2 linked regions of the Callithrix jacchus genome follow. The protein of the gene in region 2 interacts with the protein of the main gene of each other region in a biochemical or structural test. Links are inferred from orthologs where the notes say so. Each region holds a gene or a part of one and is shown on either strand. Other genes may lie near its edges.

Region 1 (4,406 bases), on a different chromosome or scaffold from region 2:
ATCCATTTTTCTCACAAAATGCTCACTTTCCTGAGCTATATTAAACACCTTATAACAGGTGTATGTATAACTGAAGACCCTAAAGTATCAAGTTTACATTTTTTAAAAAATGCATAGAAAACATAACATTTCAGAAAACCTATTAGTACTTCTTGGATATTACATAGGTTTTGTTTCCTTTAGACTGTAAACTGTTTAATATGTATAACTGGTTATTACTTTCACATCTGAACCACATTTTAAAAAAATATTCGTAGATATGATTGCTATTAGGCTAAGGAAACAAAGTTTTCTGACCAAAATTCATTCAAGGGTCTTCCAATAAACAATCTTTATATATACTGACTGAAGATATCAAATTTCTGTGCCACAAAATAGAATTATATCAGAACTACAGCAAATAAAACTTTTATTATAATACATTTGCTTGAAATTAAGGTGCTATTCATCATGCCCTACATCATGCAGTCTTTACCAAGTGGGCATCATGTCAGGAAACCACACCCTACCAAGATGCTTGGACACTTCCCAGTGAATCTGCTCCAAACTATACTTTTGGTCAGGAATTAATACTTCTTCCATAATAGATAATTGAGATAGGCGGCCACCACACATCTTCACAAACTCAACAAAGGCACTACATGAGACTTCACATTCCCCTAGTCCAATAGCTGACAAATTTTTGCAACGTTCTGCAATGCGAATTAACTCTTCATCAAGTGGCCGTAATCCATTTGCACACACTACTAGTTCAACTAGTCTAGGGCATGTCATTCCCACACGGCCAAGCACATCTTTACTTACTGATCTCCCAAAGTACAAATGGGTGGCAGGTATTTCATAGCGAAAGAATGGGTCAAATTCTTCTTCATATAAAAAAAAATACATCACCAAGTTCACTTTGGGTGAATGTCTGATGAAAGCATCCCAGCTGCTCTTCTGAATAGTATGGAAATGTGTCTGTCCAGGATTCTCACTGACTACATCAATACGCAAATGTTCTAATCGAACATGTTTTTCAGAAGACAAAGCAAGTAACAACTCATCACTTAGTAAGTGGTAGTTCAGGGCTAGTTCCCTTAAGCCATGGCACTGATCAGCCACACAAAGGATACCTTGAAAGAAAGAAAGGAAAAAAACTAATTATTTGCAAGTTTTTGTAAAAGTTTATCTGTTCAAAAATTGGATCAAGTACATGTTCCACAAAGTTTGTCACAGTTCCCTTGCCACAAAACTATATAATTTAAAATTTATTTGTATAGTTGAATTAGGAAGTCACACACATTTTCTAAATCCCATCATCTATTAAAAAAAAATAAAACTTATCGACTCAGACAATAATGAACTCTGTCACTTAAAAAATATACCATCACTAAGGTTAGTGCATTTCAGTAATGCACAGTGCCAGATTTTTAAAAAATTATTACTAACACTAAACTTATAGGTTAAATAATTACATGATCACTGCAATGGAGGCCAAAGGACATTTTTTGAAGTTCAAACCCTAATATTAAATTTCTAAGAAAAAATACCAAGATAACACTAAATAAACATGTCAAAAATAATTACTCAATTCTGTTGACTCTGCCTTGGCCTCCCAAAGTGCTGGGATTACATACTGAGCCACCATGCCCGGCCAATATAATTCTGCCCCAAAGAGGCACCTTATATTATCTGGTAAAAGTAACCCACTTAATCAATTTCTTTCTTATGTTTAGAAACAGGAATAGGAACAAAAAAGCATACATCATATTTTCATCTACTATTTATTGTTGCAAGCATAATATGCCAGGTACTAGAGGTTATCCCACAAATAATTTAAAAAATCTGAAAAAGTATTATTTTTCTAACTTGAAGTGGAGACAGCTAGCTAAAAATAGCAAAGCTGCAATACAAACACAGGCTAAGTGATTCTTATGTCCATGCACTTAAGTACTGCTTAAGAAGTGACAAGACAGAGGCCCACATATAAGCCAGAGCTTTATAACAGTGGGAAAAGATAGGCAATAGAGTTACAAGAGAATCACTGAATCACCGGAATGAGTCACCAAAAGAGGGAGTAATGTCTCAGTATTCAGCAATCACAAAGTTTCTGTTTTCCACAAGGTAGGTATATACTTTGTTTTTGTTTGGAGATGGAGTCTCACTCTGCCGCCCAGGATAAAATACAAAAATACAATGGTGCGATCTTGGCTCACTGCAACAGCCACCTCCCAGGTTTAAGTGATTCTCCTGCCTCAGCCTCCCGAGTAGCTGGGATTACAGGCACACACCGCCATGCCTGGCTATCTTGTATACTTTGAAATACCCCTTGATTACTCAAGGTAACCTAAGCATACCTCTGTTCTTTGCAATCTCAAAAAGCTTAAATATAAAAGAAGAACAAACACATGGGAAATGGTAACCAACAATGCAAATAAAAGAAACTTTGGAGTATCATTTAATAACTACAAAAGCAGTTGTGGCAGGTGTAATTCGCAAAATGGCCTTCAAGATTCCATACCCTAATGCCTAGCATCTGTGAATTCCATAAGATATCATGCCCATGACTGTGATATACAGCACAGTTGACCATAAATGAAAGATTATCTGGGTGGTCCTAGTCTAATCACATAAGCCCCTTTTTAAGCAGTTTTATCTGGTTGACTGGAGAAGAGGAAGTCAGAGATTCAAAATGCAAAGGGGACTCAACATGTTATTGCTGGCTCTAAGCTAGACAGAGCCAAAAAAGAAAAACAGAAGCAGCCTCTAAGAGCAGAGAGACCCCCAAACAACCTCTTGCTGACAGCCAATAAGGAAACTGGATGTCAGTCCTACAATTACAGGGAACTGAATTCAGCCAGTAACTTGAATGAATGTGGAAGTGGTTCTTCTCCAGAACCTCCAGATAAGAAGAGCCCACCTTCCTGACACATTCCTCTCAGCCTTTTAAGACTGTAAGCAGAGAAGCCACTTGAGCCCTACCTACAGCTATAATGTACAGAAGAGTGGAGTGAATAAAATGTTTAAGCTGCTTTGTGTATAGCTATCAGTTATGCAGCAAAAAGAAAACTAATATACAGTTCCAAGTGTTTAAAAACATAATACAGTGACAAAGGTAAAATAAAACCAGAGCATTATTACAACTCAATAAATTAAGAGAAAAACCCCAACTGGAAAAAAGGCAAAGGGGCTGGGCGTGGTGGCTCACACTTGTAACTCTGGCACTTTGGGAAGCCTAGGCGGTTGGATCACCTGATGTAAGGAGTTCAAGACCAGCCTGGCCAATGTGGTGAAACCTCATCTCTATTAAAAATACAAAAATTAGCCAGGTGTGGTGGCAGGTGCTTGTGATTCCAGCTACTTAGGAGACTGAGGCAGGACAAGCCCCTGAACCTCCTCCTGGGAGGTGGAGGTTGCAGTGGGCCAAGATTGTGCCACTGCACTCCAGCCTGGGTGACAGAGTGAGACCCTGTCTCAGCAAAAAAAAGATATTCAACACCTTTAGTCATCAACAAAATATAACTCAGCTGGGCAGGGTGGCTCAAGCCTGTAATCCCAGCACTTTGGGAGGCCGAGGCGGGTGGATCACGAGGTCAAGAGATCAAGACCATCCTGGTCAACATGGTGAAACCCCGTCTCTACTAAAAATACAAAAAATTAGCTGGGCATGGTGGCACATGCCTGTAATCCCAGCTACTCAGGAGGCTGAGGCAGGAGAATTGCCTGAACCCAGGAGGCAGAGGTTGCGGTGAGCCAAGATCGCGCCATTGCACTCCAGCCTGGGTAACCCACCAAAGTGAAACTCCGTCTCAAAAATAAAATAAAATAACTCAAAACTGCAATGAGTTTACACCCCCTAGGATGGCTACAATCAAAAAGACAAGTAAGTGTTAGAAGACACTGCTAGTGGATATGTAAAGTGGTACACTGCAGCTTTGGAAAACAGCCTGGCATTTCCTCAAACAGGCAGTTACTATATGATCACTAGGTATATACCTAAGAGAAATTAAACCATATGTCCACACAAAACTTGTACATAAATGTGTACAGCAACGTTTTTCATAATAGTCAAAAGGTAGATTTCCATTTATATGAAATGTCCAGAATAGGCAAATCTATAGAGACACAAAATAGATTAGTGGTTGCCTAGGGATGGTTGGGATGGAGGTTTTGGGGGCAACAGCTAAGAGGTATGTGATTTCTTTTTAGGATAATAAAAGTGTTCTAAAATTGTGGTGATGTGTGCACTACTTTATCAATACACTAAAAGTAAGTTATACATTTTAAATGAGAATTGTGAATTATATGACAGTAAAGCTGCTACTAAACTGATGATTAGTGGTGGCACTAATCATTGATTAATTTTCTCAGATCAACTCATTTGGGAAAAAAGCAACATGACAAGAAGCACAAAAACATTTGGA
Region 2 (5,181 bases):
GAAGAAGCAGAGCATTTCTAGCGGCCCAAAGAGGAGATAGAAATATTTCTTTTCCAAGAGAAAAAATTTAGTAGAAACAAATTAGAAGCAAAGAAAGGCAACTTGTAAACAGAGGCTAGAAGTAAAGTTAAGTTTTCTAGAGCAGTGCCTGTGAAACTTTAATGTGCAAGTGAATCGCCAGGGAATCTTGCTAAAATACAGATTCTAATTTTGGAGGTCTGGGTTGGAGCCTGAGATTCTGCATTTCAACCAACTCCTCGGTGTTTCACAGCCAGTGCTGCTGATTGTCAGACCGCACTCAGAGGAGGAAAAATCTGGCAGCAGAGGTGTTGTTAGCCTTTGAGTTGGCCGGTGGTGCTCCCTGATGGCTGAGCCAACGGCAGCACAGCCTCGGTGCTCTGTTGAGAGGCAGTGGCTGGCTGAAAACGAACATGTTAAGCCTGACAGATTGCCTGGGTTTGAATTCTGGCCACTTATTAGGTGTATGATGTTGGGCAAGTTCCTAATCTCTGTATGCCTCAGTTCCTTCATCTGCAAAATGGAAATGATAATAGTACCTACTGGATTGGGCTGTTTGAGAATAAATGAGATAATGTATGTGAAACAAGTAGAATGGTGCCTGTCATTGTAAATGTTTATTAAATGTTAGTCGTTCCCATTGTTATCATTATTTTTATTTAGTTGCTGGGTTCAGCAACTAAATAAAAGGCAGGCCTTCTATCTGCCTCTCATTTCTGCTTCCTGCTATAAACATCCCTTGTGAAAGAAGAAAAGGGCTCTCATAGGATTAGCTGTGCTTTAGAGATGCTGCAAGGAATCTCTCTTTTAGTAAATGAGATCTAAAAATAAAGTTCTATAGAAGGCAGATTGCTACATGTTCTGGAACCCAGATTTCATGTGCATTTCAACCTTATTTATAGCTTCAAATCAAAGTCCTATGCAGCCTGGTGGACTGTAAGGGAAAAGGCCCCCAAAGTGCATGGCAAGGATGCAGAGCTGCTGATGGAGGACCCTGTGTCCTGGAATTTAAAAATCTCTAGGCATTCTACCTGGCAGGGTCCAGGTTTCAGGTGGCCAGAGAACATTTACATGGATTTCTCTTCTTTTCCTTCTAGAAGAATGGTGAGGCTTGGGGGAGGCCAACACAAGTGATGTACTTGCAGTTTCCTGTTCCTTTTTTTCAATTTTTCAAAACCAGAAATTCACAGAGGTGGAGATTTTGGTTTGCATAAAGCGGCATTCAGCCTATTAGTCTTCCATCCCAACCCCTCCGAGAGTCTTCTGCATGCTCTTTTGCAAACATGATGCTTTGAGCTGAGCCCAGGGCTCACCCATGCTAGAATGTGGGTCTGTGGCATTGGCTGTGGGAGTGTGTCAAGTTGTGTACGTCAGAGGCAGCAGTGGGGGCTGGTTCTAGTTGGCAGCCTGGGAACAGTCACTGCCTCTGTAAGCCTCCAGTAGTCAGGGAATGTGACTGTGACGTGCTGCAGAGGAGGTACAGGGCTTCATTGTGCTCAAGATAAAATCTGGCCATTCCAATTGTTGACTGAGAATAAGAATGCTGGGGATGGGGAGAGACCCAGGGGGTAGATAGCAGGTGCCTCAGAGGAGTCTGAAATATGCAGCTGACCTGTGGGTTCCTGAGGAAGAACATAAGAATGTCAGTGGATTACCTGTAGTCAGATTGCTGTTGGAGAAAGGGATTCCAAACTCCTGAGGGACTGCAGAATCTCAGCCCCTGGAGCAGAGTTGGCATGCAACTAGAAATCTTTAGAAATCAGGCACAGAGCCCGGCATGGTGGCTCACCCCTGTAATCCCAGCACTTTGGAAGTCTGAGTTGGGTGGATCATTTGAGGTCAGGAGTTCGAGACCAGCCCAGCCAACAAACCCTGTCTCTACCAAAATTTTTTTTTTTTTTTTTTTTTTGAGACGGAGTTTTGCTCTTGTTACCCAGGCTGGAGTGCAATGGCGCAATCTCGGCTCACCGCAACCTCTGCCTCCTGGGTTCAGGCAATTCTCCTGCCTCAGCCTCCTGAGTAGCTGGGATTACAGGCACGCACCACCATGCCCAGCTAATTTTTGTATTTATAGTAGAGACGGGGTTTCAGCATGTTGACCAGGATGGTCTCGATCTCTTGACCTCGTGATCCACCCGCCTCGGCCTCTCAAAGTGCTGGGATTACAGGCGTGAGCCACCACGCCCAGCCCAAAAATATTTTTTTAAAAATTGATTGGGTGTGGTGCACATACCTGTAACCCCAGCTACTCGGGAGGTTGAGGCAGGAGAATCGCTTGAACCTGGGATGTGGAGGTTGCAGTGAGCCGAGATCACACCACTACACTCCAGCCTGGGTGACAGAAAGAGACTCCAACTCAAAAAAAAGGGCACAGAGAGGAAAATGGGGGTTTCAGAGTGACCACCCCAGGTTCCTGAATTCCAGCTTTGTCACTTAACAGCTATGGTCTTAGGCAAATTAATTCCCCTCTCAGTGTCTCAGTTTCCTCATCTACAAAATAAGGCTGGTATTATTTCCCTTTAAAACAGTTGAGAGAATGCACTTAAAAAGCATGACAAAACCGAAATCCCATTAATAACCTTGTTTGCCTCTGGGGAAGGAGGAAGGGGAAGACCTTTTTATTGTGTACTGCTTTGTCACTGGAATTTTGAGCCACATGAATAGTTTATCTGGTTATAATGTTAATTTAAGTATAAAACAGTGAAGGCACTCAGCAAATGTTCATTTTCTTTCCCCTTCCCCTGGCGATCCAGGTCTCCTGCTGAAGTTCTTGCCTATCTGTAGTCTTCCCCACTCCCACCCCCACAAAATCATGAGGATATCTATTGAGAAGTACCTTCTAAGACCTTCTCCCTCTTCAGATGAGAACCTGATTACCAGAGCCTGGAGAGGCCTGGAGAGTGAGCCACCTGCCAAATAAAGCTATGGGGACTGGGGAAGCATTGCAGGCTGTGAGGCTGTGGCAGCAGAAATATGCATAGCCTGGAGCATGCGTGCAGAAAGGCAAGGAGTCTTTTCTACCAGAATAAGTAGGATTTTCCTGGCTATGGCAGTCTGATCCTCTGCTAAGAGGACCTAGTGCTTCCATACCACAGCATTGCACTGGCTTTTCAGACCGTTCCCAAGTGAGTCTCACAACAACCTTGTGCGGGGCAGATACTTAATCCAGCCGCAGAGACTACGAGGGAGTAAGTGACTTGCCTTAGATCACATAGAAACACCACACTCGGAACAGCTCACATTTATCTCATGATGTCTGTGTGCCAGGCACAGTGCTAAATTTTTTTCACACATTATTCTATTTTTTCTTAGCAATTTTATGAGATGGATACTAACATTATCTTCACATTGCCAATGAGAAAACAGGCAAAGAGGTTAGGTTATCGCCTAAAGTCACACAGCTTTAGCCACAAAGTAAGTGGCAAGGCCAGGATTTGAAGCAGAACAGCGCTGATCCACTCCTGGGCTGGAACCCAGGCCTCTCCAGCCCTAGTGACCATGAGGCTACCCATTGGGCATAAACAGTGAACCAGTTTCTCCCTGCTTTGTTAGGAAAGAGAGCCCCTCTTTGTGATGTTCTCACTAACAAGGCCTCTGTGGACTCTGCAGGTTCCTACTTCAGTCTCTGGAAGATTTGGACACAAGTTTAAGGAAACTGAACTCCCGCCTGTTTGTAGTCCGGGGACAGCCAGCCGACGTGTTCCCAAGGCTGTTCAAGGTAAGCGTGTAGAGCCCCCAGAGAAGACAGTGAGATTCTGTCTCTGAGGGTTCCCCACAGCCTGAATGAGATGATATTCCGACTGAGGGAATGGAAACATCAGGACTGGTCTGGCTCTTGCTTCTAGAGAAGTTGGGAGCAAAGGCAGCCAGTTAGCTTGCTCTTGGAATGGAAATTGTGTTAAGGAAAATAATTCTGTGAAACCAGTGTCTTGCTGGAAAGCTCCCAATTCAGTCCAGACATAGGATGTGGTAAGTCATTCCACCCTGGATGCCATTGACTTCCTTCGATGTTTTCTTGGCTGAAGCCAGCAAGATTTATTAGGGTTCCTTCTAGGCCAAGACTGAGAGTGGGGTTTCATGTCTAGCAAGGTGCATTTCCCATCTTGCTTTGCTCAGCTTATTGGGAAAAGTCGGCCTTTCTGAGGAAGCTTCCTTGTTTCCCATGGGGTAAATGGTTGATAGAAATCTTCATTTTGGTGCCACATAGGGTGGCAGTATCAGGGGGCCAGTCCACTTTTCCCTCAGTTCCTTTAAAAAGCATATTCTAAGGCCCACAAAGAAGCACAAAAACTCATGGACAGAGGGCTCTGGGACAGTCTGCCTTCCTCCTCAGCAGCACACCATGATTTTCATGCCCCTCTCCACCCTAACTTTGAGACAAAAGTCATGTCAGGGCAGACGGCTTAGTAAATACATCATCCTTCAGTTCCCCTCCCCACACCCCTACACATAATTGCGCATACATGCAAAAATCACACTGTGCTGGTAATTGCCCCCATTCATTAAGGGCTGCATGGGAGTCAAGCCTGTTCCCAGTGCTTGTTTACATCAACTCACTTATTCCTCACAGCAGGCCTGAGAGGTAGCTACTGCCATTCCCATTTACAGGTGAGGAAACAATGATTGGTTGTGAAGTTAATAAACGGTGGATTCTCTGACCCGAGAGCTGTGTCCTTACCCACCATACCATATAAATACATTTGCCTCCCTTCTCCCCAACATTGCCCTTTCTCTTCCCCCAGCAACTCCGAGGCCAACCCAGTTATAGCCCAGAGATCTAGCTAGGTCATCCATTCAGTCATTTCATGTATTTTGATTGAGATTTTGCTAGGTACTAGGCTTTATACTAGGTATAAGGGTAATGATGATGAGTGAGACAGCTTGGTTTCTGCTCTTGAGAGTTCAACCTAATGGGGGAAACAGGCAAGTGACAGGCAGCTTCATTGTCATGTAATACATCCTGCAGTGGAAAAAAGACAAGGTACAGAAGAATTATATTCAAGGAGGAGGTCAAGAAGGCTTGTTGGAGAAAATGTCATTTAATAATATTGTTATTATTGTTCACGGGTTACAATGGGTATTCACTGATGTAATCTATATGAACTACTAAGCATGGTATCATATAAGGCTTATCATATAGATGAGTCCTGGCTTATAGCAAGG

The links.
Region 1: the proteins of CRY2 (region 2) and FBXL3 form a complex in vitro, tested with the Homo sapiens proteins (2 studies listed by BioGRID, with this or other methods). The link is inferred for Callithrix jacchus from reciprocal best matches to the Homo sapiens genes CRY2 and FBXL3.

Annotation. Positions count from the first base shown.
Region 1 is NC_133502.1:38,296,368-38,300,773, reverse strand, and holds part of FBXL3 (F-box/LRR-repeat protein 3), read right to left. Parts: intron 1,116-4,406; coding exon 472-1,115; 3' UTR 1-471. UniProt on the Homo sapiens protein: Substrate-recognition component of the SCF(FBXL3) E3 ubiquitin ligase complex involved in circadian rhythm function. Plays a key role in the maintenance of both the speed and the robustness of the circadian clock oscillation.
Region 2 is NC_133511.1:110,876,797-110,881,977, forward strand, and holds part of CRY2 (cryptochrome-2), read left to right. Parts: intron 1-3,627; coding exon 3,628-3,736; intron 3,737-5,181. UniProt on the Homo sapiens protein: Transcriptional repressor which forms a core component of the circadian clock.